Lepisosteus oculatus: one gene and its partners. The protein of the gene in region 2 interacts with the protein of the main gene of each other region in a biochemical or structural test. Links are inferred from orthologs where the notes say so. Each region holds a gene or a part of one and is shown on either strand. Other genes may lie near its edges.

What was found.
Region 1: the proteins of rab11a (region 2) and rab11fip1a form a complex in vitro, tested with the Homo sapiens proteins (2 studies listed by BioGRID, with this or other methods). The link is inferred for Lepisosteus oculatus from reciprocal best matches to the Homo sapiens genes RAB11A and RAB11FIP1.
Region 3: the proteins of rab11a (region 2) and rab11 family-interacting protein 4A form a complex in vitro, tested with the Homo sapiens proteins (2 studies listed by BioGRID, with this or other methods). The link is inferred for Lepisosteus oculatus from reciprocal best matches to the Homo sapiens genes RAB11A and RAB11FIP4.

The regions. Positions count from the first base shown.
Region 1 is NC_090697.1:72,846,357-72,853,819, reverse strand, and holds the start of rab11fip1a (rab11 family-interacting protein 1), read left to right. Parts: upstream 1-4,139; 5' UTR 4,140-4,275; intron 4,276-4,281; exon of another isoform or gene 4,282-4,582; coding exon of another isoform or gene 4,583-4,722; intron 4,723-5,087; 5' UTR 5,088-5,284; coding exon 5,285-5,634; intron 5,635-7,463. UniProt on the Homo sapiens protein: A Rab11 effector protein involved in the endosomal recycling process. Also involved in controlling membrane trafficking along the phagocytic pathway and in phagocytosis. Interaction with RAB14 may function in the process of neurite formation.
Region 2 is NC_090700.1:47,579,262-47,587,831, forward strand, and holds the start of rab11a (ras-related protein Rab-11A), read left to right. Parts: upstream 1-5,290; 5' UTR 5,291-5,322; coding exon 5,323-5,368; intron 5,369-8,570. UniProt on the Homo sapiens protein: The small GTPases Rab are key regulators of intracellular membrane trafficking, from the formation of transport vesicles to their fusion with membranes.
Region 3 is NC_090704.1:46,849,525-46,857,619, reverse strand, and holds the start of rab11 family-interacting protein 4A, read left to right. Parts: upstream 1-4,991; 5' UTR 4,992-5,255; coding exon 5,256-5,408; intron 5,409-8,095. Other genes in the region: coil (coilin), read left to right, coding at 1-165, 505-594, 952-999, 1,216-1,285, 1,894-1,985, 2,090-2,173. UniProt on the Homo sapiens protein: Acts as a regulator of endocytic traffic by participating in membrane delivery. Required for the abscission step in cytokinesis, possibly by acting as an 'address tag' delivering recycling endosome membranes to the cleavage furrow during late cytokinesis.

The DNA of each region.
Region 1 (7,463 bases), on a different chromosome or scaffold from region 2:
CATGCTCTGAAAGTGTAGTTTGGCTTAGAAACAATATCCATCCTGACTTTGACAGGCATTCGGAGAGGGCCAGAGAGATTTTTATTCCTGCTTCAAGGGTCTGGATTAAATCGAAATTTCAACTTAATCACAAATTCTAGGTGCCAATTGATGGGTGCTTTCTGTTAGGCAGTCTCCTGCCTGCATCTACTCAATGGACAACCTCCAGAAAGTTTCAGGATTTAAATTTGACACTGGCAGATGTCTCCAAGATTGTACAGAATATTGGCCAAGGTCTCAGTTACATCATTGATCCAGCAACAAATATTTAAAGTTCTACCAAGATGTTTTACATTGGATGATATATAATACAGCCTTGATCCAGTTTTTCAGTATCTGCAGCCCCCTGGCTCTGAGTTTCAAACCCTCGATTTAAAGTATTTAAAAATTAACAACTATAGAAGGAAGAGTACACGTCATTATAATGGAGGATTCAGGTTTCATTTAATTTGTTTTACTTCAGCTCTCATTTCATTAAAGCCACAGAGTTATGTTATTGAACTGCTTTATGAGCTCTTAACTGAAAACTCAACAAAAAAAAGGAAAATTTAACCGACCATAAAATTGAAAAATCTATGGTTTTGTAGTTCTCATTTCTGGGTGAACAGGGGGAGATTTCAAGATTAAAGTGCGTATTTATATTTTTTACCTGAAGACAATTCATTATGTATATTAATAATAAAGCATTTTTATATAATATATTTCTTCTAGAATCCGGACAGTGCCTTATAAAAGATTTGCTTTGTCGGTTGTTTATTTCAAAATAAAGATTTTTTTAAGCTATGTATGCATTGTGTCACTGAGAAACTTCCTCCCTCCCATCTTTTGTTTATTCTAAATGTTTTTTAAAAAGCAATACTTGAAAATGAGCACAGATTCTTGAATTCCACAACATAAGGCGGGCTAGAATGTTAGGTTGTATGTTTTGAACAATTCGCTCTTTCCCCGCTATCAGTGGGAACCTCCCCCTGCTGTAAACAGACGAAACAGCTCCTAATAAGGACCTGCTCTTAGCAGCAGCAGCGCTCAAAGCCTCTACCGTCTGTCCGTGGCACCACAGATCCTAGACGTTTAATGTTCCATATAAATTAAATCAAGATAAGCCCGTAATGTCAGGACAGCTAGTGTGAGGGTCCCAGCGTAGCGCCAACATCTGTTGAGCTATAGGACCAACCCCACAGACCCCCTTCTGTCACAGACAGAAGTCAAGACCACAATTATCATTTAGTAAGACAAAAGACCAAATTAATAAGGAGCCTCCTTATTTTAAGAACACTGGACAAACCAGAAAATAAAATGTCAAAACTCATCCACATCCGGGCACGTCCAGAACAGAATACAAAACGGGCCCACGGCGCCCCCTAGGAAAGCATCCCATTGAAATTGTGAAGTGTTTGCTGCGCTATGTAGGAAATGTACTTTTCGATGTATCGATACAATGCAATTAATCGTGTATGTACTGATTTCCTCATTTAGAGAAGGGCGCAATTAGTAATTTGATTCTTGACAAGACCGTATCAATTAAAGATGAACGACACTGCAATTAAAACCGAAATACCGTTTTAATCAAAGTTTAGAACCACCCCCCCCCATCGGAATTAAAAACTCACTGAACGTTAATTTTGTATTAAAAGCTAAGCATAGCCTGGAAGGGCGTAGATGTACGTATGTGAGTGCTGGGGAATAATACTACGGCGAAAGTTTCACCTTTTGGGATTTTGTGCAGTGCTTGTAGGTCCGGCTAGATTTTTAATTGAAAGGTCAGTCACAATTGTATAACCACTTACATCCTGAAACACATATTTTTTTTTTTACCCTGGCCCCATTGAGTTGCATAAAAGCGTGAAAAAAGGCACATAATTTGTCAATTGTATTTGCCTTTCGCGGTAACGACCACTTTTTCACCATTTAAGGCCGTATATAGAATCTGACACGAAGGACAGAAGATGGCGCTGGTGTCTCAAAATTGCGGGCAGTCGGTTCCCTTCATGATGTGTGGTTCACCGTGACTAAAAAAATCTGAAATCTTATTTTAGTGGTTTTATTTGCTGTGCTTTTTTGTTGTAGACAAAAAAAAGGCAATAGTAAAAAAAAGTTAAGAAAGCGTGTTATTTTTAGCAAGATCGTGCGGCTTCGTCTGGGGGTGATGGCGTTTCTTGAATTTACGATGGTAACGTATTGACCAAGCGACTTTATGTGAATGGAGAGCAGTTATTCCCTGACTCGATCTTTCTGCTGGCCGGGTCACAAAAAAAAAAAGAATAAGCTCAGGACTCATTATGTTCGTCCTAAATAAAAACTACAGCATTTCACAGTCACAGGACAGTGTGTCTTTCCACCTTAATAGGAGCCGCTCGACTGTCCAGTGAGAGCGCTTGTCTTTCAGAAATGATAAATTGCAATTTAATCTCTTACTACTTTTTAAATGCTTGTCGTTTTATTTATTTAACCACGTAAATCGAATGAGAGCAAGCAATAATAACTTGGACAGCATCCATGGTTTCAGCAGAAAAGTTACCGGGACAAATTGAGTGCGCTAATGGTCAAGGTGTGCCGACAGCTCTGTGCTCCCGTATCTTGAACCCAGGATACTCCATAAGGATAGCCTTCATCCATCCCTGTACCTTGAACAGTCACTCACAGACTCTCTCACTCCCTTTGGAAATTTCAGTGGAATGTATAGTACACAATACCTAGGACTAAATCTGAGACTTTTGGTGCCTATGTCTTTTCCGTCGCTGTTCCTTTGTTATTTAATATTTCCTCTAACTCCTGCAGAGACAAATTCTTTGACTGTTTCAAATCTAAACTCAAAACTCACGTTTTTACTAGGACCTATGTCTGATTGCCCTACATTCTATTATATCCTGTATTTAATTCTATTATTATAGATATTATACGAAACCAAAATTAACTAATAATAAATCAGGTGGGCAGCTGCGTCAGCATGCGTAGGCTGCAAAGGGACAATAGGTTTATTCCATGCTGAAAAGAGAAGAAAGAAAACGCAATGTTTCGGCCGTGGAGTCTTCTTCAGGTGTGAGAGAGACAGGGCAGTAGGCAAAGGTAGTGTAGTGGGAGAACAAAGGCTGGGAGGGAGCAGGGGACAGAAATCAAGAGGTGTGAAGTCAGGATAGGTGTCGAGAGGTGTGAAATGAAACTTCCAATGAATGGAGAAAATGTAGTAGAATAGTAGTCTGTCGTTAAGAGAAGGCGGAAGGTGTGATCCTAGCTGCAGGATAAGTTTGGTTTCGGTGGTCTTTCTGATGTATGAGTTCGGAAAACCGTCTTTGAGAACACAGACGGAGGGATTAGAGTGGTCGTGGCCATCAGAGGTGAAATGAGAAACAATGGGCTTGGAGAGATCTTTAATCTTCACAGCCCTGACGTGTTCTCTGAAGCGGTCTCCGAGTCTCCTTCCTGTTTCTCCAATGTAGATGGCTGGACATTTACTGCAAGAGATACAGTAAAAAAAGTTGCTGGAGGTACAAGATGCCATCTGGGTGATCCGGAATTGTCCTGAGGGGCCTTGAATGAGTGTGGTGTTGGATGTGTACTTGCAGGTGATACAGCGAGCTCTGTTCACCTGAACTACTATACTGGAATGTTAGGGCCCACACAGACCGCAGAGTGAGCGCCCCCTACTGCCCCCACTAACACCTCTTTCAGTAGCAACCTTAGTTTTTCCACCTTTAGTTTTTTGCTGCTTGAATACAGCGATTAAATCGACAATACGCCAACTCATTTTACAAACAAGCCTGTTTCCTAAGCAGATACGCGTCGAAATGAATGGTTGACATATTTCTCTATATTTTCCTAACAGTATTTATGATTATATAATTTCAGTGCAGATTATAATTATAGACTTACATCCACGCTTTACCTGTACCGTAATGCTTGTCATCGTGTTTAATCTCTTTAACAATTATGTTTGTGCAAACTTATCACTTTAGTTTTTTTTTACACTCAGTTGCATTTCTTTAAACCCGAATGGAACTTCGCTTTTAAACACGCAGGTCATTGTGTTACAATGACGTAATGCCTGTTGCCGAGCAATTTGATCCCTGATCTTTACCTGCTCCGGACAATAGCAACCTGTTGTAGAGCATTTCCACCAATCACAGAAGGAAAAGGTTTGATTGATCGGTAATTGGCCAATAAGCAACTTCGTATTGGGCAGATGGACGGGAGAAGGTCGAGGTGGTGCGTGATGAAGGAGGAAGTTTAGTATTGACTGTGAGTTAATAAAACAAGAGGTAGCACTCGAATTACTGAGACTAAGGCGAAATGCGATAACTGAAAGGAGCCGGTATTCTAAAAATGTCAATATTTTTTTTTAAAGCCGGAATGAAAAGACCTGCTTTCTAATGAAATGTTGTGGGCAGCGAATGGTAACTATCGATGAAACGACTCTCGTTGAATAAGCTGTACACATGGTAACTTTAGCAGCTGTGGACTGATGACCTGAGTTTGCTTAAGGTAGCAGTTTCGGTAAAAAAAAACCCGTTTAATTAATAAATCCTACTTACAAGAACGAACGTGGATGCGAAGCGGGTTACAGGCGGCAGTTGCGGAGGCTGGACATATATCGTGTAGCAACTGTTATTACCACGAATGTGTTTATGACGAGTATAGACTTTCCCAGGAAAAGAAAAAGACGACCCCGGATAATTTCCTTCGAAGGTAATGCTGTTTGTTAGGAAAAAAAGTTGACAAAAAGAAATTTCGGGCTTTGAAATTCGCTTATAGCAACGCGCTAGTGAAAAGTCCTTTGGGGCTTTACACGACAAAACGCAGAAAATAGACGAGTCGGTCGGTGCGGTACTGAACAAGTGCGCGGTGTGGCGTACGTTAAAAATATTCAAAGGTGCGAGGGCGACAAAATATTCAACATATTTTTAGATAGTGACTTTTACGTAAACTGCTCCAAGGAGGAGTGTTTTATGATAAGGTCACGTCATTGGTGTCGCTGAGGAATTTCAAGATTAAGCATTCCAGTTCGTGGTGTTTTCAAAACACTACAGCTAACGTTATCGCATTTTTTTAAGGAGTGGCAAAGGGTTGTGAAACATCCCAAGCCGTGCCAACTACAGACTTCGTTTGCGACTCGAGACAGAGAGAGGACCAGCTCGCTTTGGCACGGACACGGCGATACCTAGAAACTCGGGACAGTTCCCTTTGAAGTGCCCTCCGTTCAGCCTCTTCTAGCGACAGGTTTCGTTCGCCCGACCCCCGGACACGGGCCATGTCTCTGGCGGAGCAGAGCCAGCAGTGGTACCCCACCACCGTGCAGGTGACGGTGCTGCAGGCCAGGAACCTCAAAGCCAAGGGCAAGAATGGCACCAACGACGCCTACGCCATTATCCAGCTGGCCAAGGAGAAGTACTCCACCTCGGTGGTGGAGAAATCGCCGATGCCGGTGTGGAAGGAGGAAGCCACCTTCGACTTGCCCATGTTCCACCAGGGCAACGAGCAGCGATGCACCCTGTACATCGTCGTCATGCACCGGGCTCTGGTGGGGCTGGACCAGTTCCTGGGGCAGGCGGTCATCAACCTCGTGGAGCTGCAGGAGAACAAAAACCGCAACAGGACTGAGTAAGTCTCCAGACTGTTTCGGTTCAGGTGTTCCTGCTGGTCTAGCCAGCCTAAAGAAGTGTCTCCAGAGTTCTTGGATCAAATCTGAAACTCTTGCCCTCTTCTCCATGCCGACAAGTGCATCTTGCTGGGGAGTTGAACTCTGTGCTTTCAGAACATGGAAAACAGCCTGATTTTTTTCTCCCTCTCCTTTCTGTTGTCTGCCAAGCCCGTGCAAAAAGTTGCAATCTGTCCGGTATAGAAATCCTTTTTACCTTTGTTCTCACAGCTGGTCTCTCTTCACATTTCTAAGAACTTTAACTGCTGTAGTTTTTTTTTTTTTTGCCGGTTACTTGCCTTAAGTCCTGAAGTGTCCCTCCTCACTTTCTGGGAAATAGAAATGTGTAAAGTGAAGAAGAGATGTCTGTTCCCCTACGGCGAAAGAACTTTCTTTTGTATCCCAAAAGAAAAGCAAGTTGTACTTATTTTGAGAACTCATGAGTAAAAGGAATTTGTTAGCCCTTTTCGGAATACATAAGTAAAAGATTTATTTAATTGATTTAAAGACTGTAAATTGAGGAATTGGCTTGATTTCAGTTTTCCAACTGAAAGTAGTATGTACCTGTTAGATTGAAACTGGCTGTCCACAAGTATGTTATTTATATAAAGGAACTTAAACTTTTTCATTTACTAGTTGTTCGTGAAGGTAAATTGTATAATGCAAAAATAGAGTTCTTTAAGAATTTGTTTTTATGCCGCAATACGTGAGAGGATATATATTATGTTAGCGTTCATAATCCTTGCTGTTTTGCTTGTCTTTTCTTCAATTGTAGTATGCACAGTACTGTGGTGTGCCTGTGGAATCCATGAAGCGTTTGAGCAGTTCTAAGAAATGTTCCTTGCATATTCCTAAACTGTGCCATCAGACATTAGCCTTCCTTCCAAGAAAGGTCATCTTCAGTGGGAGTGGGTGGAAGAGCTATGAATATTTGAAAAGGCAAATATAAACAGAGGGGAGGTCCATTTTTATTGTGTTAATTACCAGTAATTGGAAAAGGGCCCCCACCTCTTTTAATCTGATTATAGTTTCGACAGTACTCGGCGGCATGACAGTGACTTGACAAGCTACAGAAGCTAGAGTCGTCCCCTAGTGTGAAAACTTCCTTATCGCTCACTGTTGTTTGATTGTTTTCTACACCCATTACTCCTGCTTTATTTGCATTGTAAAGTTTTTAAACCTTTTTCCGCCCAGTCCTGCTTTGGGGGATGAACCCATGACAATGCCAAAGAAACGACTTGGGGACTAGCATTAAATGTTAAAGCGTTTTGCTTTTGGTGCTGGTGATTAGCTACTCCCACGAAGATATTGTGAGAGAATGGCAGCAGCTAGCCAGCCATGTTGTTGAAGCCAATACCCTGATATCAACCTTATTTTTCACTAAATGGCTGGCTGAGATCCTGTGATCAATTAATTGCTTTGTACCAAAATGGCTAGATGTTCTAAGTGGCCTCCTTTCATTCTCATGTTTTTAAGCTCGGATGTGGACTTTGCTTCAAAACATCAGAACTGCTGGAGAAAATGGTGTTTGTCTCTGCAGATGGTGGGGAGTGGTGTGACCTCAAACCCCAGTCTAGCTGAGGGAATATTTTGTTGTTTTAATGTAGTATCACGTTTCCATTCAAAGTCTAAGATAGACCTGCTGTTATAAATATGGATTCTAAATATTTCTCCTTCATTTTTATCAGCAATTATTGTTCCCTCAGTTAATGCAGTTGGCTTTACTCTACATATGGAGATATCTCCTCTTATTCAGGCTATTACATTTTTTTTACCTTCAAAGCATTTCTTT
Region 2 (8,570 bases):
CTCTGGCAGAGACAGTACCACCCTGTCCCAAAACGCAAGTCACAAATTGATCCCTGACTGTCTATTAAATGTTAAAGAACCCCTGTGGAGTTCGGCTGCTCTCTTCATGTTCGTGTGGGTTTCCTTCCACAGTCCAAGACACACTGGAGCCTTAAGTGAATTTTGGCAAAAGTGTCCCTGGTGTGTGCTTGTTGCACCAGTTCTGTGCCCTGCGATAGACTGGCAGCCCCTCTAGGCTGTACCCTGCCTTGCGCCTGTTGCTTGCCGAGATAGGCTCCAACTTCCCTGTGACTCCAAACCAGAATAAGCAATTAAGAAATGGATGGATCAAGGTTCTGTGGAGGAAATTTCCTCGAATTTAACAGCAATAGAAGAAAAAAGTATGTGCATTACCAGAGTACCGTGCCTCCCATTTGCTGTAGTAGAGTAATTATTGTCTACAGAAAATAATTTCCCCCTCAAGGCCCATCATTTTCACACTTTTAATATCTTCTGTAGCAGGTGGGATCTGGGATCGTGGCTTCCAATGTACTTTAGAAAATAACTTTTCCAAAGTCCGTTACTTTCCAAAGTCACGAAGAGAAATGTTCACACTAGAGAAGCGGCCTGTTTCTAGTGTCACTGAGCTCTCTCCCCCTCGCTCTCCGAAGAGCAAAATATACAAGTCCTTCACTCTCATAGATCTTCCTATCAGCATCCGCTGCAAAACTCTCCCTCTCCGAATATTTTGTCTGCTCTCTTCAGTTCTGTGAAGAAAAAGAACTGCTGTTTTTTCCTGGGTTTGAACAGAGGTGTCTTTGAAAAAGAGCTGTGAAATTGATTTAATTTACAACGATAGTACCACGCTTTAGATTACATCTCATTCACGGTGGGTTACTGTGTTTATGTACAAGATGGTGTGGACATTTTATGCAATATATACCCGGGATGGAGTGGTGGCTAAGGATCTGTGCCTATGGCTGGAAGGTTGCTGGTTCAAATGCTGCAGCTGGCAGTAGGGGCCCTTAACCCCAACTGCTCCAGGGGCACTGTACTGTACATGTGGACCCTGTGCTCTGACCCCAAGCTTTTGTCTGTGTCTCATAGAGAGCAATCCTAATGCAAGGAACTGTATATGGCTAATAAAGTAATCTTAACCTCTTACCTACCCTGTGTTGTTACCTGTTAAAATAAGTTATATCACCATTTAAAATAGCAAGTAAAAAATTAATTAGAAAATAGAGGATTTTTAAGCACTAACAACAGATGAGGAATATACAGATCATTAATCAAAAAATACTTTGCATCTCATGCAGCAGGAAAAGCACTGAACAATAAAAACTTCCATAGATTATTTCAATTGTTTTTAACCGCATCAGACAACTGAACCCACAACCCTGCTTTCTACAGTCATTTTTTTGTGATTAGCCCCAGTACCTGATATACCAGGCTGTGTTTTTAAGACACTGTAACATTTTCTATTCACGTACAATGACAACCGCAAGGACACATTTCCCACCCTTACAAATAGCTGACCTTATGTGTTGATCAAGTGTCACAACTTGGAAAGAAAGCGGCAAGTCTGCCACCTAGTGGACACGGACAATGTTGACAAAAGCAGCGCTCTTCTCAGCGTGAAGAAGCTGTAGAAAAGCGAAGAGTTCAGTGTGGGGCAGACTTCCAGTGATGGCGGCATCAGACAAGGTAGCACTCTCTATTCTTAAGTGAAATTATTGAGTTATAGCTCCCTTTGTACTTCTGATACTTGTATCAGAAGTACAAAGTTGGGTGATGAAATATTTCTACATACAAAAAACAACATGGACAAAAAAAAGGTAAATACAGACTTTAATATGGACATCACTGAAGCAAATATGCAATTTGTTCATCCACAGCTTAAAGGTTAATTTTGTTATTTGCAGTTTCCCCTCTGTTACGCCAGGGGGATAGCGAACCGAGACCCAAACCTGTCTTGACCTGCTCACACTGAATACTAATGTGCAGAAGCTGCCCACTGTATCCAGACTCCTTCAAACAAAACAGAGATCTACACCATTGGTGGCACTGAGCCAGTCCCCAGTTACATGCTTTCTGTGACCCCAACCCAGCTCACAAAGTCATAGTGATGTCTGCGCTGCAGTCTACCAGCTCGCTGTGCTCATCTCCGCAGGCCGGCACTCCATAAGTTCAAAACACGGTATCTCACAAACAACACACGCTACGTTCAAATCACGCGGAATCGTGATAGAGGCGGTTTCTGGCAGCGGTAAGTGAAATCATGCCTTGCCAGCTGTAAGGTTTCCTCAGCTTTACCTGAGTAAGACGACAGCCAACGGCAACCCTGAGGTGCTGGGAGCTGCTGTGTCTGTATGGCAGGCTGCACACACCCTGCGGCACCTGGGAGGTGACCTGCAAAACAAGGCCGTCTGGCCCATCGGGCTCCTGGGCTCGAAGCCTTTCCAGTGCCAGCCTGCGGCCGGGTCGAGAGCCCGCGGGTCCCGCGCCTCTGCCGGGAGCCCACGCGAGGCCGATGGCGCTGACCTGTGCCTCCAGCCAGCGGGGCGGGAGTGCTTGGAGAGGGCCAGGCTCTTGGCGGTACGGTCCTTCGCGGGCGCGGGAGAGGCAGACGGAAGGCCGGGCTGGCAGTCAGTGTCGCCCTCTCAGTCAGTGTGGCGCTGACGTGAGTGCCTGTCGCCTCTGCCCTCCAAACTCTTTTGTGGCCCCTGGCAGCTGGAGCCCACCTGTGGTGGGGGCCGGGCCTTCTGATATGACTGGTACTGAGTCCAAATTTCCCACTGCTGCTTGGCTTCCGTCTTACCCGCCCTTTGACCTTTGACCTGAACTGGCCAGGTGGGGTGGTAGAGCAGGAGAAGAACCTACAAGGAGAGACAAGGGCCTGTTTCATCAGCAGCTCACCGTCGCTTTCTCCCAGAAACGACACAGCCCCCACGCATGTCACATTGCAATGAGCCCCCCTGCCACACAGGTGGAGAGGTATTTATGACACGAGAGCGTCTAGGGTCTGGTGGCCGGCCCTGGGCATCAAGCCGTGACAGGAGCTCATGCAGAAGTCTGGTATTCACCCAGAGTTGAGAAGGTTAGTCTTAAAAAGATAACCCATTCCAAAGGCAAGTCAATTCTGCTTTTTAAAATTAACAAGATAGTGGAAGAGAAAAACTTTAAGATGTTGTCAGAGTCATCTATGAAGTGTGTGTACAGTTACTCTGCAAGCCAATCCATTCTTTCTTAAAAGCAATCTTCCTTCCTTTAACTTCTTAATTGAAAAAGTTATCCCTTTCTGAAGTACCTTATACAGTGTCTGAAACTGTCTCACTGACGTCTGGGACACTTCCTTTACGTTTAGGGTATCCTTACGTTGTAAGGCTCTGTATTCATTAATACAATCCTGTAAATTCTTCATAAATATTTATCATGATATGGCTATGTAGTCAGTTTTAGTACAACTTTTCTTTCGACTTCATTTGTGTCAGATTTTTTTTTTCACCGCTGGGTTGCGACCGGCGAACTTGAGAACTGACACGGACACAAAATCAGAATATTTTAGGGTCCAATGCTGTCGGAGCAAAAAATGCCGGATGGACGCCGCGTCTTGAAGAGTTTGCATTCCGTTACAGCAGTAACCATCCGGTCAGCACAGGGCAGTGTCACAGAAACCGCTGTGGCTACATAGAGAACTGTAACACACTCGGGTTATGCGCTGGGAACTTCAGGAACAACATCATAGTTAAGACTTTTCTAATGAAGTTTGAGGTTTCCGTGCCAATCTTACTACCGCCTCCTGCTGGATTCATACTTTTTATTTTATACAGGCCTGCTGTTCCTTCTTGCATTAATACAGACCGGGTCATCTTTACAGGCTCCTTGTAGAACTGCGTTCACAGCAGTCGGAGGTCTGTAAGCGTGTTAACCCGGTAGACAGTACAACGAGGACAGAAGACAACGTGAGGGAGTGCAATTAAAAACGGAAAAGACACAAGTTTTACAATCTAAAAGGGAGGATTCGTTCGCATTCCGCTGTTACATACAATGCAGCACCAGGACCGGCGCTACTTCCAGCTGACTGACTTTCTGCAGCTCGGTGTTTGCATCTCAGCGAACCGTCGGGCTGAAGCTAGACCCACCGGAACCCTCCGCTCGAACCCCGCCATCTTCGCACGGTGGGGCTCCCGTTTTTCCAGCCTGATTGGTGCAAAATGGAGTAGAGAGAACCTGCGCCCCCAGTCACAGCTACATCGCCTTTACTGCCATCTGTTGACACGATATTGAATTTACGCTCGTCCAGCAGTCAAGATAAATATATTCAATTTAAACGTTTTTATTTAACAATTTCGCGTATCCTCGATGTGTAAAACGAGGACAACATGCCAGCTATTTTGCTGTGCTGTTATTTAAACAAGTAGGGAAAAAAGTCAGGTTCCACCGAGATTTGAACTCGGATCGCTGGATTCAGAGTCCAGAGTGCTAACCATTACACCATGGAACCTCCTGTACGTAAACCCCCTTGCATGAGCCTAAAACAAGCTGGGCAATGACACCGTCGTTAATTCGTCGTTTTATCTGCCACATCTAGCAATGCACACACCAACGAGATTTACAAAGCACTCAGTAAATACCACTAAACGTTTATAAAGTTGAATCGTTTCAGTACGTATTCGTACGGGAGTATTAGACGTACATGATGCGGACCTGGCAATCTCAGAGAGCTGAATTCACTACATGTCTTCCCTGGCAGCAGATACATACAGTTGCATTAAGGTGCGCGTGTCACATTTGCAGGATGCAAAAACCTGTGTGTGCGTGTTCCTTTAATCAGGAGACACAATCAACGAAGAGATGGTAAACGGGATAGTACGAAATCTCGGGAACGCGGACCGTACCGCACTATCGAAGAGGCACACGCGCCCGGCAGCATTACGTCATAGACTCCAAGGAAACGCTGCGCTCATTTCGTTTAGACGCCTTTGTAGGTTTCAGTAAACCGGACCTGTATCAGAAGGACGTTTAAAGATCGTGGCCCAGAGAGGAGTGACTGCACATACCACCCACCTTTGGAACAGATATGCAATATTTAAGAAACAAATGTTGATCAATGGTGACCCCGCTGTGACCCCGGAAGTGCAGACTTCTTGACTCTTGCAGGTCTCGGGTGGTAATTTGGCTGGAGTGGGCAACACGGTGCGGCTGCCATCCCGTATTTTCATTCTCACTTGGCTCGATTTATTCTGGAATCAAGATGGGAACCCGAGACGACGAATATGACTATTTGTTCAAAGGTAAAGGGAGTGCTACAAAACATCGTTTTCTCTCATTCCGTAATGGTTGATGTTAGCCTGCGCGTTAGTAACATTAGCTGCACTGATCGCACACGGTAAGTGCTCGGCACTGGCTTCATCGGGCTTTTGTGAGGTACCCGAGATATCTGGTCTGCTGCTCTGTGAATAATATTACTATCCATTAAGACCGGGGGACTAATCGTCTGTGCCCGGGCTCTTTTTAGCACACGTATAGCAAAAACAGTCGCTACGGTTGAAAGTTGAGAAATCAAGGCGAAATTACGACATGTTGTTACACTACGTCCGGGGAGCAGAGTCCTAGGTTGCGGTACACCGAGAGGTACCTGAAACAACCTCTTCCCACCTGCCTCTGTCACAGCGGCTGCTGGACGGTAACCGCAGCTGGCGGCGCCATTTCACACCTTAATAATGTGCCCAGACCTGCTGCCTTCACATTGTAACGTGTAAGGAGAAATAAAAGCGTTTGAATACGCTGACAGGATGCTGAACTGCTCTGCTGCAATTAAGCTTTGATATCAGCTCCTTTATTTCTGAAACTGACACTGTTACAAGTTACTGTTTTTTTCTTTGGTGAAGGTTGAGATGTTCAAAGCGATTCGCGTAATTCGGTTTTTGTTTTACGGGGCGACCTCTGTACGTTGTTTTTTTTTTAAGATTCAAGACAGTGTCCGCCCGTCTGTACTCGTTTGTGCAATGTTAACTCGGTACGCCGCCTTAACCAAGACCATAAGACATATTGTAACTTGAGGTTGGTCGGGTTGTTCATGTACGATTGTGTATACTGTCCTTTTCTTCACTATTTACAACAAGACTCTTAAAATGCAAAGCGGCAGTCTTACTCTAGCGAGGAAGCAGAAACCGTTGCTCAATGACATTCTCTGAGAGACACGTAACAGGATTACTGGGTGTGTGTGTTTGTCCGGGACTCGCAGCGGATGAGTCAGGGACGGACATTTGACTGTCCAGGAATCCACTAGCCCAAGTGCGGAAGGAATGCGGACTCTCGGACACCCGCAGACGCTCATCGTTTAGTTTTAAAACGTTACTCACTGTCGTCACTGTGACCCCCTTTTTTGTGTGTGGGGGGGTGATTATCATTTCTTCATGCTCTCTGCCAAGTAGGCATCAATGCTTTAACAGTTTTACTTATTGTGTTTTCATCCGTTTGAAATCGAATACTCTGCCAATTGTTCGTGTTGACCTATGCCGTGGTTGTTTGTCCGAGGAGTTATTTTTGAGCTTAAGGTCTTGGAGTCAACCTCACTTGGAGGTTTGAAGTGAAGCCATTTCACGAGTCTTCCATCACCATAAATTGCAACAGTAGAATGACAACGATCTGTGTGTTTCCCCCCAATTTTTACTTAAGTCTTCACCTCCTCTGATATTTAACTGAAATATCAAGAATGAATTTCGCAACTTCTATATTCGATTAACCTGAGGGTGTAGAGTCTGTTGAAGAAACACAGGCAGCAGGCGGATACAGGCATCTCCCTGTTGATCACCTGCGTTCCACTGTAATGTGTCTTACAGTGATCCTGTGAGCCGGAGCTCGGTGACAACACAGACCTTCTGGAACCTGATAGGCAGTAAGTCCTGATCGTAATGGACAAATCCTAGATTCTTAAAAGAAAAACAACAAGAAACAGGAGAAAGGGGTTGCGGATGGGTTGATGTTTCCACAGCTTCGGAACAAAGGGGTTTATTCATTGTCAGGAAGTATTGCATTGCTCTGTGGAATGCTGTAGCCTGCAGGCTTTGTGTGCTTCAGTGCATCCACCCTGCTACTCAGGCATGAGAATCGCAAGCCATTGCAAACACAGATGCCGTTTGAAATAAGCTTGCATACAAACCCAAATCACTGTAGCATGCACATGTTCTTAGAAAACGTTCGGGGCCTCCGCAAGTCAGCTTTGGCTACTCCACAGGTCTGGCAGAGTCAACAACGGGTCCAAAGGGCTGCTCAGCTAAGTTGCAGCCAGGTCCCAGACTGGAGTGCACTCCCTGCAATTTTAGTCTGTCCCACATGCTGTACCTGCGTGTTTACTCTGAATGTGCACACCCTTCACTTCTGTTTAGCAGCTCTTAACTGCTGTTCACTAAGGTTTAGGTATTCACTTGCAGGACAGTAATAGTGTGTGTTTTAGCCTTGTGGAGTTACTGTACAACTGAAAGGTACTCTACCACTTGCTGAGATTGCTATTTGCTCTTACAGGTGTACTGAGGTTCTTATAGTGCAGTAAAAGCACTAGTGTGCATTTACAGTATCTAGGCTCTTTGTTTAGCAGAATTAAACAGGGCTGAGTTTAGTCTATTTACAGCTGTATCTGTACAACTTTAGAACAATACACAAAGGACTGTCACAGTGTGTTACTATCAGCAGCAGCTGAACTGCTGGGGTTTTATTCAATAGTGCAGTTTATATCGGGAAAGGGAAGTTGACACAAGGGAGCTCCTTGTTCTAGGTGTGTTTTTTGAAATTGCAACTTATGGTTCTTGGGCGCCACAAACAAACACAGCTCAGGCTCTGTCATGGATCCATCCATTGTAAGAAAGAAGCTTACAAGTCCTTGTAAAAGTCATTCAGGAAGCTGGGGCAGCCAGAAAGGACTGCATCCTGGCTGGGACATCAGTCCCCCGCAGGGCTCGTGCACAGGGCCTGTTTATCAACACTAGTTAACTTGGCCAACACATCTCTAGAGGGGAGGGGATACTACCCCCCCAAAGAGAGCCCATGTGGATAATCTGAGAACATGCAAACTCCACACAGATGGACCAGATCCGGGACCCCATGAGCTCTGAGACAGGAGTGCTGACTGCCACCCCATCCTGCCCAATTTCATTCAGTGTTTTTCAATTTAAAATTATTTTTATTGTTGTTCACATGGTGGGGATTACAAAGGTAATCAATGAACACAGCCAAGCATTTAGGTTTTGTTCTGATTTAGTAGGCTTAAGGTTTTAATCAAGCTTGCTAACCATGAAAAGGGGCTTAAGGAGGCATCTTCTAGAAATACAGGGAACATAGTCTGCTAGCCTTGCTAAATAATCTAGTCTACTTAATACTAAGGGATTTTAGCCTTCTACCTGGTAGAAACACTGCTACATTTCTCCAGCAGAGATCTCACGACCTACATAGCGTTCATGTCTTGCAAGAGAGGATTCCTCTTGTGATAAATCAAAGTCGTCCTCTCAGTGCGTGTCAGATGTCTGCATTGCTAGTTGCCTTGGATACATGAGTGCAGTCAAAGATATTGGGAGTGTATAAGGGTGCTGATA
Region 3 (8,095 bases), on a different chromosome or scaffold from region 2:
GTGAGGGGCCGGGGGGACGGCAGGTTCCCCTGGAGGGGGCTTGGACCCAGGGGGGGCCGCGGGAGGGCGAGAGCAGGGCCCAGGAACCACGTGTACTACAACTACAACGGGGGCGAGCAGCAGCACGACGGCGACGCCCTGACGAACTCGTCTGTGGTGCTGCAGGTGAGTCTGCACGCCGGGCGTCAGGACCCGGGCGGGGTCTGGAAGCCCAGCCCGGTCGTGTTGCGCAGGGAGGAAGGGTGGAGCTGTCGTGGGGAGGTAGGGAATGTGATTTTGTCGCGCACGACTCCTCTCCAGCTGTGACAGCTGACTAGCCCTGCTGTGATTAGGAGCTACAGTCCCAGCAGGAGCTTGGTGAGGTGGGAGAAGACTGGACTGTGAAGTGACCAAGGGGCAGGGAGGGGTCAGTCTCTGGAGATCGAGCAGAGCCGGGCTAGGGGTTGAATCCTGGTCCCGAGTCGATCCTGGGGAGTCACTCCGATGGGCTGTTGTGCTTTGCAGAACCCTGCTGCCGATGCCCCCAAGAGAGACTACAGTCTGCTGCCCCTGCTGGCCGCCCCTCCTGCTGTCGGACAGCTGATTGCCTTTAAGGTAAGACGGGGATTAAAAATAAACTACATTTTTAGTGGGTTGCCTTTTTCAAATTGGGGAATTGTTGATCCTCAAGAAAATGGGTCACTTCTGGATCCGGATGGCCGGGTCTATTCTCGTTCGAGTGGGGAATGAATTTGAGTAGTACGTTTTGAGGTTGAGAGTTGTGGGGAGAAACCTATCAGCCTAATCAGTCAGTGTTCATTATCTTCTCGCTCTGTGTACAAAGGTCAGAGGTTTTGGTTTAACCAGCTTTTAATTTTCCCTCCAAAGAGAGGTTTAAGACATGGCTCTGTGCAGAATGTACAGCCTCAGTGACACCTCCTGCTCCTCTCTCTCCATCTCCTTGAAACGCAGTTGCTGGAGCTGACTGAAAACTACTCGCCGGAGGTCTCCGACTACAAGGCAAGTCCCTGTTCTTGATGCAGGGCTTTAAGAGGAAGGTGGTGGGGTCCACATGCTGGTCTGGGGAGAGCGGTTCTGCGATTGAGCTCGGATGCTCCTGCCTGTGGTTATGGAAATTGTGCAGAACCCCTGAAATCTGAGCTTAACGTCTCGACGGTCCCAGTTTCTAACCGTCTGCTCATCCTGCCATCTTCCTGCCTGTCCTTGCCCCCTCAGGAGGGGAGGATCGTCGGCTTCGACCAGAGCACCAGGCAGCTGGAGCTGGAGCTGCTGTCGTCCGCCCCAGGTACCGCGTGACTGAGCTGGGACAGCCCGCTCCAGCAGAACCGATCCTGGGCTTTCTCTTTCAGGTTCCTCTGGGGAGGTGCGAGACGGACATGGGCCGGGGAACCTGCAGTGTTACAACACTAGAACAGGAAGTGAAGACGGGGTCTGAGCGCTGCAGTCTTGGGGGGGGGGGGGGCTCTTGAAGGGTCTCGGGTTGAAAACTGATTTTCCTCCTGAGGCTTTGCATTGTGCTTCAGCTGGCTGAGAGGAGCGAAGGACTGGAATTTGTACTGTGGGGCTGCAGTCTGATCATTGTCGGGTGCCGTTGTCCTGAGGAAACAGAGAAGTGGATCTGTGCCTATTTATCGTCATGCCTCCGTTAGTTGAAGTTTAGGTGGCAGGTGGTGCTACGTGCTAGAGCCAACAGCTGTGAACATCTGGAGTGGCTCAGTTGCGTGCAGTACAAGCAGCCTGCCGGAGTTGGGGGGCCTGGGGATTTGCACTGGGGGTGCAGACGGGTTTGGTTAGTCCTCCCCCACTCCTCGCCAGAACCTGTTCTCCTAAAGCTGCCGTCTCGTTGGCGGTTGAGCTGTTTGGGTTTTAACTGGTGTCACCCTGGCTTCCCAGCAGCCCCAGCCGAGCCGGGGAAGTTCGATCTGGTGTACCACACGCCCGACGGCGCCGAGATCGTGGAGTACGCCGTCTCGCGGGGCTCTAAGGTAACCGCCGGTGTTATGGCCGCGTGATCATGGCGGGGGGCGCGGGGGGGCGGGGGTCCCCCCTGTGGGCGTGCCGCGTGACTGAGCCCTGCGGTGTCTTGCAGCTGACGGAGCGCTGGGACTCTCTGCTGGAGCCGCGGCTGATCGTGGACGGCGCAGAGGGAGGCCTGGCCGGCGCCGCAGACTGACCAGGAGTCCGGGCCGCGACGCCGCTCGCCTCGAGGAAACTCCCTTTTAGGACTTTTTTTTTTTAATACTGTGAACTGGTTTATAGCGGCTCTTACTGCAATAAGAGTGCTTTTTTGTATAAAGTTACAATTGAGCAAGTTTTAGTTAATAAATGTTCCTTTTCAAAGCTACCCTGTAGCAGCTGGGCTCCTGGTGGCCGTGTCTCGGCAAGGCGGGGTGTAGTTCCCCTTTCCTGCCAGCAGGGGGCGCTTTGGGGAGCGTTTGTGCTAAAAGCGGAGTGAGGGCTGTAAAGAACAGGCAGGCTGCAGGAAACATAGCGAAAGCAGTGGGAGGTCTGCGCCCGAGCCCTGCGTGTGCTCGGCTCCGGTAGGACAGGACAGGACTGGCCTGCAGTGCTGATGCTACACTGGGGCCAGAATGAGCTCAGTGGAGTCCCTGCGCTACCAGGGGCTTGTAGTGGGGCCTGGGTGCTTTGCTGTGTGACCGTGTGTGTGTGTGGGGAGGAGTTCGGGATGTCTCTGCGGCTCGCGGGCAGCCGGTAGTTGCCCTGGTGCTGTCCTGTTCCTCTCCCCTCCCGCTGTTCTGCACGTAGCGCTGCGCTCAGACTCGGTTGCACCACCAGACTCCTTCGTTCACTCTGATCCCTCTGCAGGCCGCTATTCCCTCCGTTTTTGTGTGGATACAGGGGTCTCCCCGCCTGCTCCCGGGGAGCCCCACGCCTGCCCGTTCTCACCCCGACCGCTGGAGAAGCCGGTGCAGTGGAAGTGTTTTACTTTCCCCCTGCTGGGTATGAAACTAGTTCAAGGGCCGGCTGGGTGTTAGGGCTGTGGGCAGGACGGGGGAGGTTCGAAGACGCTCTGGGCGGGGGGGGGCCTTCACACTCTCGGTCTTCGGCGCAGCCTGAAACCCTGAAGCAGCATCGCAAACACGGGGAACACGCTCCGCCTTCACAACCCGGCTGTGTGGCTGCTCCCGGGGGGGGTGTGGTTGTGGAGGAGAGAGTCAGGAGAATGGGCCGTGTGTGTGGGGGGTACAGGGTGGAGGTGAGAGGTGTGTGTGTGGGGGTACAGGGTGGAGGTGAGAGGTGTGTGTGTGGGGGTACAGGGTGGAGGTGAGAGGTGTGTGTGTGGGGGTACAGGGTGGAGGTGAGAGGTGTGTGTGTGTGTGGGGGTACAGGGTGGAGGTGAGAGGTGTGTGTGTGTGTGTGGGGGTACAGGGTGGAGGTGAGAGGTGTGTGTGTGTGTGGGGGTACAGGGTGGAGGTGAGAGGTGTGTGTGTGTGTGGGGGTACAGGGTGGAGGTGAGAGGTGTGTGTGTGTGTGTGGGGGTACAGGGTGGAGGTGAGAGGTGTGTGTGTGTGTGGGGGTACAGGGTGGAGGTGAGAGGTGTGTGTGTGTGTGGGGGTACAGGGTGGAGGTGAGAGGTGTGTGTGTGTGTGGGGGTACAGGGTGGAGGTGAGAGGTGTGTGTGTGTGTGGGGGTACAGGGTGGAGGTGAGAGGTGTGTGTGTGGGGGTACAGGGTGGAGGTGAGAGGTGTGTGTGTGTGGGGGTACAGGGTGGAGGTGAGAGGTGTGTGTGTGTGGGGGTACAGGGTGGAGGTGAGAGGTGTGTGTGTGTGGGGGTGCAGTGTGGAGGTGAGAGGTGTGTGTGTGGGGGTGCAGTGTGGAGGTGAGAGGTGTGTGTGTGGGGGTACAGTGTGGAGGTGAGAGGTGTGTGGGGGTACAGTGTGGAGGAGAGAGGCAGGAGACCAGGCTGTGTGTGTGGGGGGGTACAGTGTGAAGGTGAGAGGTCTGTGGGGGTACAGTGTGGAGGAGAGAGGCAGGAGACCAGGCTGTGTGTGTGGGGGTACAGTGTGAAGGTGAGAGGTGTGTGGGGGTACAGTGTGGAGGACAACCGGGGCTCCCGCCTCATGTTTCAGCCGCTAATGGAAACACTCGCTGCTCTGATGCGCCGACCGCACGCTTGCTGAGCCTTAAATCATGAAAGTTCAGTGCTTCTTTCTGGCTTGCTGGCCTTCTGCGTTGCAATAAAAAGGAAAGATCACGCTGTGGAGGCGAGTCCTGGCGCGGGGTTAGTCCTGGGTCCAGTTTTTTTTTTCCGTGAGATGTAACTAAAACACCCCCGCGCACACACACGCACAAATAATTGAAAGACCAGGCGTGAATTTCTGTTCTAATAGACAATGCAAAAATGGGATCTGTGAAACACCGCGATCTTAACTCCAGCAAAATCAGGTTTAATTTGTTTTTTTTGTGTGGTCGATGTAACCAGCTTTTACCGGGACCGAACTGAAGTCCGGCAATCGGCTGCTACTGCCACACGCAGCTGGTCCAGCAGGGATGGACAGGTCAGTGTGTCCAGTCGGAGGTCTGGCCTTGAAGGGCAGGTTTCGCCTGTCCGTCCTGGAGAGATTTGTACGTCTCGCAAGTTTGCTGCATAAACCATCTTGCAGAACGTGTGAGGACTGAGTTACAGTCCACTATACACTAGAGATATTCTTTTGTTCAGCGTGGGCAGCTTGCAAGGGCGTCCCCTGGAGGGGACAGCAGCAGGTCCTGGGTGTGGATTTCCGGTCTGTCCGCGTCCCCTCTCGGCAGGACGCGCCGCAGGTCGAGGTTTGGCCAAATTCGCGCGTTTCGGAGGAAAGTCGCACCTGAGCTCTTCGGCTCTTCAGGTGAGCGCACAGCCGGGTCAGTCTGGGAGAGTACGGGAACGCAAACACAGTCCTGATTCCGAATACACCCCCCACCACCCCAGAAACCGACTCGACGTGACGTCCCGTGGGGGGGGGGGTGTTTGTTTTTTTTTGGAAGCGTTCCATCAGTCTCAGTCTCCGTCTCCCCGCCCAGCGCCTCAGCCCTCGTCCCTCCCCGCTCCCTCCCTCCCTCTCCCCGCCGCCAGCGGAGCTCCCCGGCCCGGTGAGGCTGTGATGTCACAGCCGGGCTGCTTTCCAGCGGAGTCGAGGAGGAGGACGGTCATGGTGCCGGCAGCTCGGGTCCTGCCGCCGGCTTCCCGCTAGACCCCCCCAGTGCCGCCGACCCGGCGCCCCGGGATCCGGGAGAAAGCCCCCCGTTTCTGGAGGATGGACGGGCAGGGCAGCGCCGAGCAGGAGCAGCTGCTGCGCTTCTTGAAGAAGCTGAAGGAGGTGTTCGACGTCTGCGACCAGGATGCAGCCGGATATATTCGGGTCGAGCATTTCGTTCACCTGGGCTTACAGTTCGGGCAGGGAGACGAGGTGAGGCGCCTCGCCAGGGGCAGGGAACAAACCGACAGCAAATGTACGCTTCGGATGCGTTTTATTTTTCAATTGCACATCCTTGTTTTCCCAAGAAAACAGCCGACGTCACACTCCATCAATAATGTACGGAATAGTGAGGGGTTATTGCCAGCCGGTTGTGGGGGCGAACAGAAAAACCTTATTATATCAGGATGTATACAAAAAACACGGGGAATTGTGAAATCTGAGACCGAGGTCGTCGGCCTGTTTTGAGCCGGGCTGAAATGTTTTGATTCTTGTTATTGACTGACGTCTCTCAAGTTCATTCGCGGACGCTTTGTCTAGGACCTTCGGTTGGAAATATTACACTTTTTAAAATAAATAACGGTGTTATTTATTTTGTGTAGCCTGTAGTACAGGTGTAGATTTAGCGACTTCACTCTGTTTAACTGAAAATCTATACATACACAGGGTTATAAATAATTCAAACCAGGGTAAGGACATTCCCTAAGGTGTTTCTGTTTGCGTGCCTAGTCTTGCGGTCGTTTTTTTTTTCTTGTAATGGTCTATTTATGTATTTATTTATCGATTCCTTTAATATTGTAACTGGGCTCCACGCCGGGGCGGAGATCGCCCACCGGTTGCCATGGATACAGACCCGCTGCCCGCAAGGCTGCGTGGAGCGCGCATGGGATCTCGTGCCTGGTGCCTCGCGCCTCGCGCCTCCTTGAACTGGCAGCGCGTGGCGTCGCGCGGTCTTCGGTGACGACAAGCGTCCGTCTCCCCTGATCTGAGAGTGTTGTGAATCCGGAATAAAAGTCCTTGAGAATCGGGAGTATTGCAGCCCTCCAAGATCAAGGGTAGAGCGCCGTGCTGTTTAAGGCTTTGTGGTCACTGGCAATCAATATTGCAACATGCAGAAAATAGACCTGTCTGCCATTATGACATGCTGCATTAATCATATGTTTATTTTTCATTAATATATGTAGTATGAGTATTTCCAGTATTTTACATAGACATTTCAGAAGGTGTAGTGGCATGCTCTATATAGACGGATGTAACATAAGCTGTACTGAAATGGGTTACAATCTCAGGGGTTGGGGGGGTGTTTTGCATTGTAAATAAACACCATTGTGATCAATCAGCCCACATTACTGTCCCAAAGAGACTAACCTGTGGTGTTGGTTCCACACTGACTGATAGATGATCTTCTCCTTTGTTGTTCACCTTGCTACCCCGACAGCTGAATGCATGTGAAGGAGAGGGGATGAGCAGTGAGTCTGGACAGAAGCTGCTCTCTGTTATATATGCACTCCCTTCCCCTGACCTGGTGTGTTGATTTCCAGTTCCGAAACGAAGGAAAAAAATCATCACTTTTACAGCAGTTGCTTTAAGTGCATTCTCAAGGATTTACTGCACTTCAGCTGCTCTGAGCTCTGCTTCGCCACGGTGCCAGGGCTTGGCCACGCCCCTCTCTGCTTCCCCATGGTGCCAGGGCTTGGCCACGCCCCTCTCTGCTTCCCCACGGTGCCAGGGCTTGGCCACGCCCCTCTCTGCTTCCCCATGGTGCACATGCTTGGCCACGCCCCTCTCTGCTTCGCCATGGTGCCAGGGCTTGGCCACGCCCCTCTCTGCTTCCCCATGGTGCCAGGGCTTTGCCACGCCCCTCTCTGCTTCCCCATGCTGCCAGGGCTTGGCCACGCCCCTCTCTGCTTCCCCATGCTGCCAGGGCTTGGCCACGCCCCTCTCTGCTTCCCCATGCTGCCAGGGCTTGGCCACGCCCCTCTCTGCTTCCCCATGGTGCCCATGCTTGGCCACACCCCTCTCTTCTCTGCCTTGTAATTCATTGCATCTATATAGCACCTTTCATCCCAGTGAACCTCAAAACTCTTCACATGTGTGGTGCCACTTCACTGACCACTGAAGTGCACCTGGAGGACGAGTTACCTCGAGTGACTGCAGTAAGCTTCCTGTCATGGCATCAGGCTGCACAGGTGTCTGTGTGGCGTTGGCGCAGCTGGCAGCTGTGCCCTGGTTCTGTACCCTTTCCCAGAAGGAGCGTGAGCGTGCTCGTTACTCCGGCAGGGAGGAGGATTATGAAACGCGGGTAGGTGGCTCTGCTCTCTGCCTGCGTGGGCAGGTCCATTTACAAGAGCACTTTCCTTCAGCTCAGCTGTTCAGTTACAGGATGCTAAAAGGATCCCGAGGAGCTGAATAACCTTCAGCTTGCAGGGACAAGACAAGCTGTGCAATGCTTTATGAAAGCACTGTGCAGTATTTGACACTCAGTGTAGCAGTAATGCACTATTTCAGGAAAACGTGGGTTTTGGTGTTTTTGTTTTTCAGAGATAATGTAGTTAAATATGTGCTCTTGCTTGCTACAAAACACAATGATTTTTCGTAAAACTCTTACCAGGATCTCTGGGAAGGGAAGGCAGTCAAGTTAATGACTGCTTGTGCTGCACACATAGCTGGAGAGTGTGAAATACAGTAGCACTGTCCCTGCTATCCTCTGTGTGCTTCCTGTGGTGAATGTTCTCATGTTGTGATAGACTGACCTGCCCTGACAGTGACCCTGCCCTTCATCTGTCTTTGACCCTGACCTGACAGTGACCTTGCCTTTGCTCTGACCTCTGACCCTGCCCTTGCTCTGTCTCTGACCCTGCCCTTGCTCTGACCTCTGACCCTGACCAGCGTTATCTGTG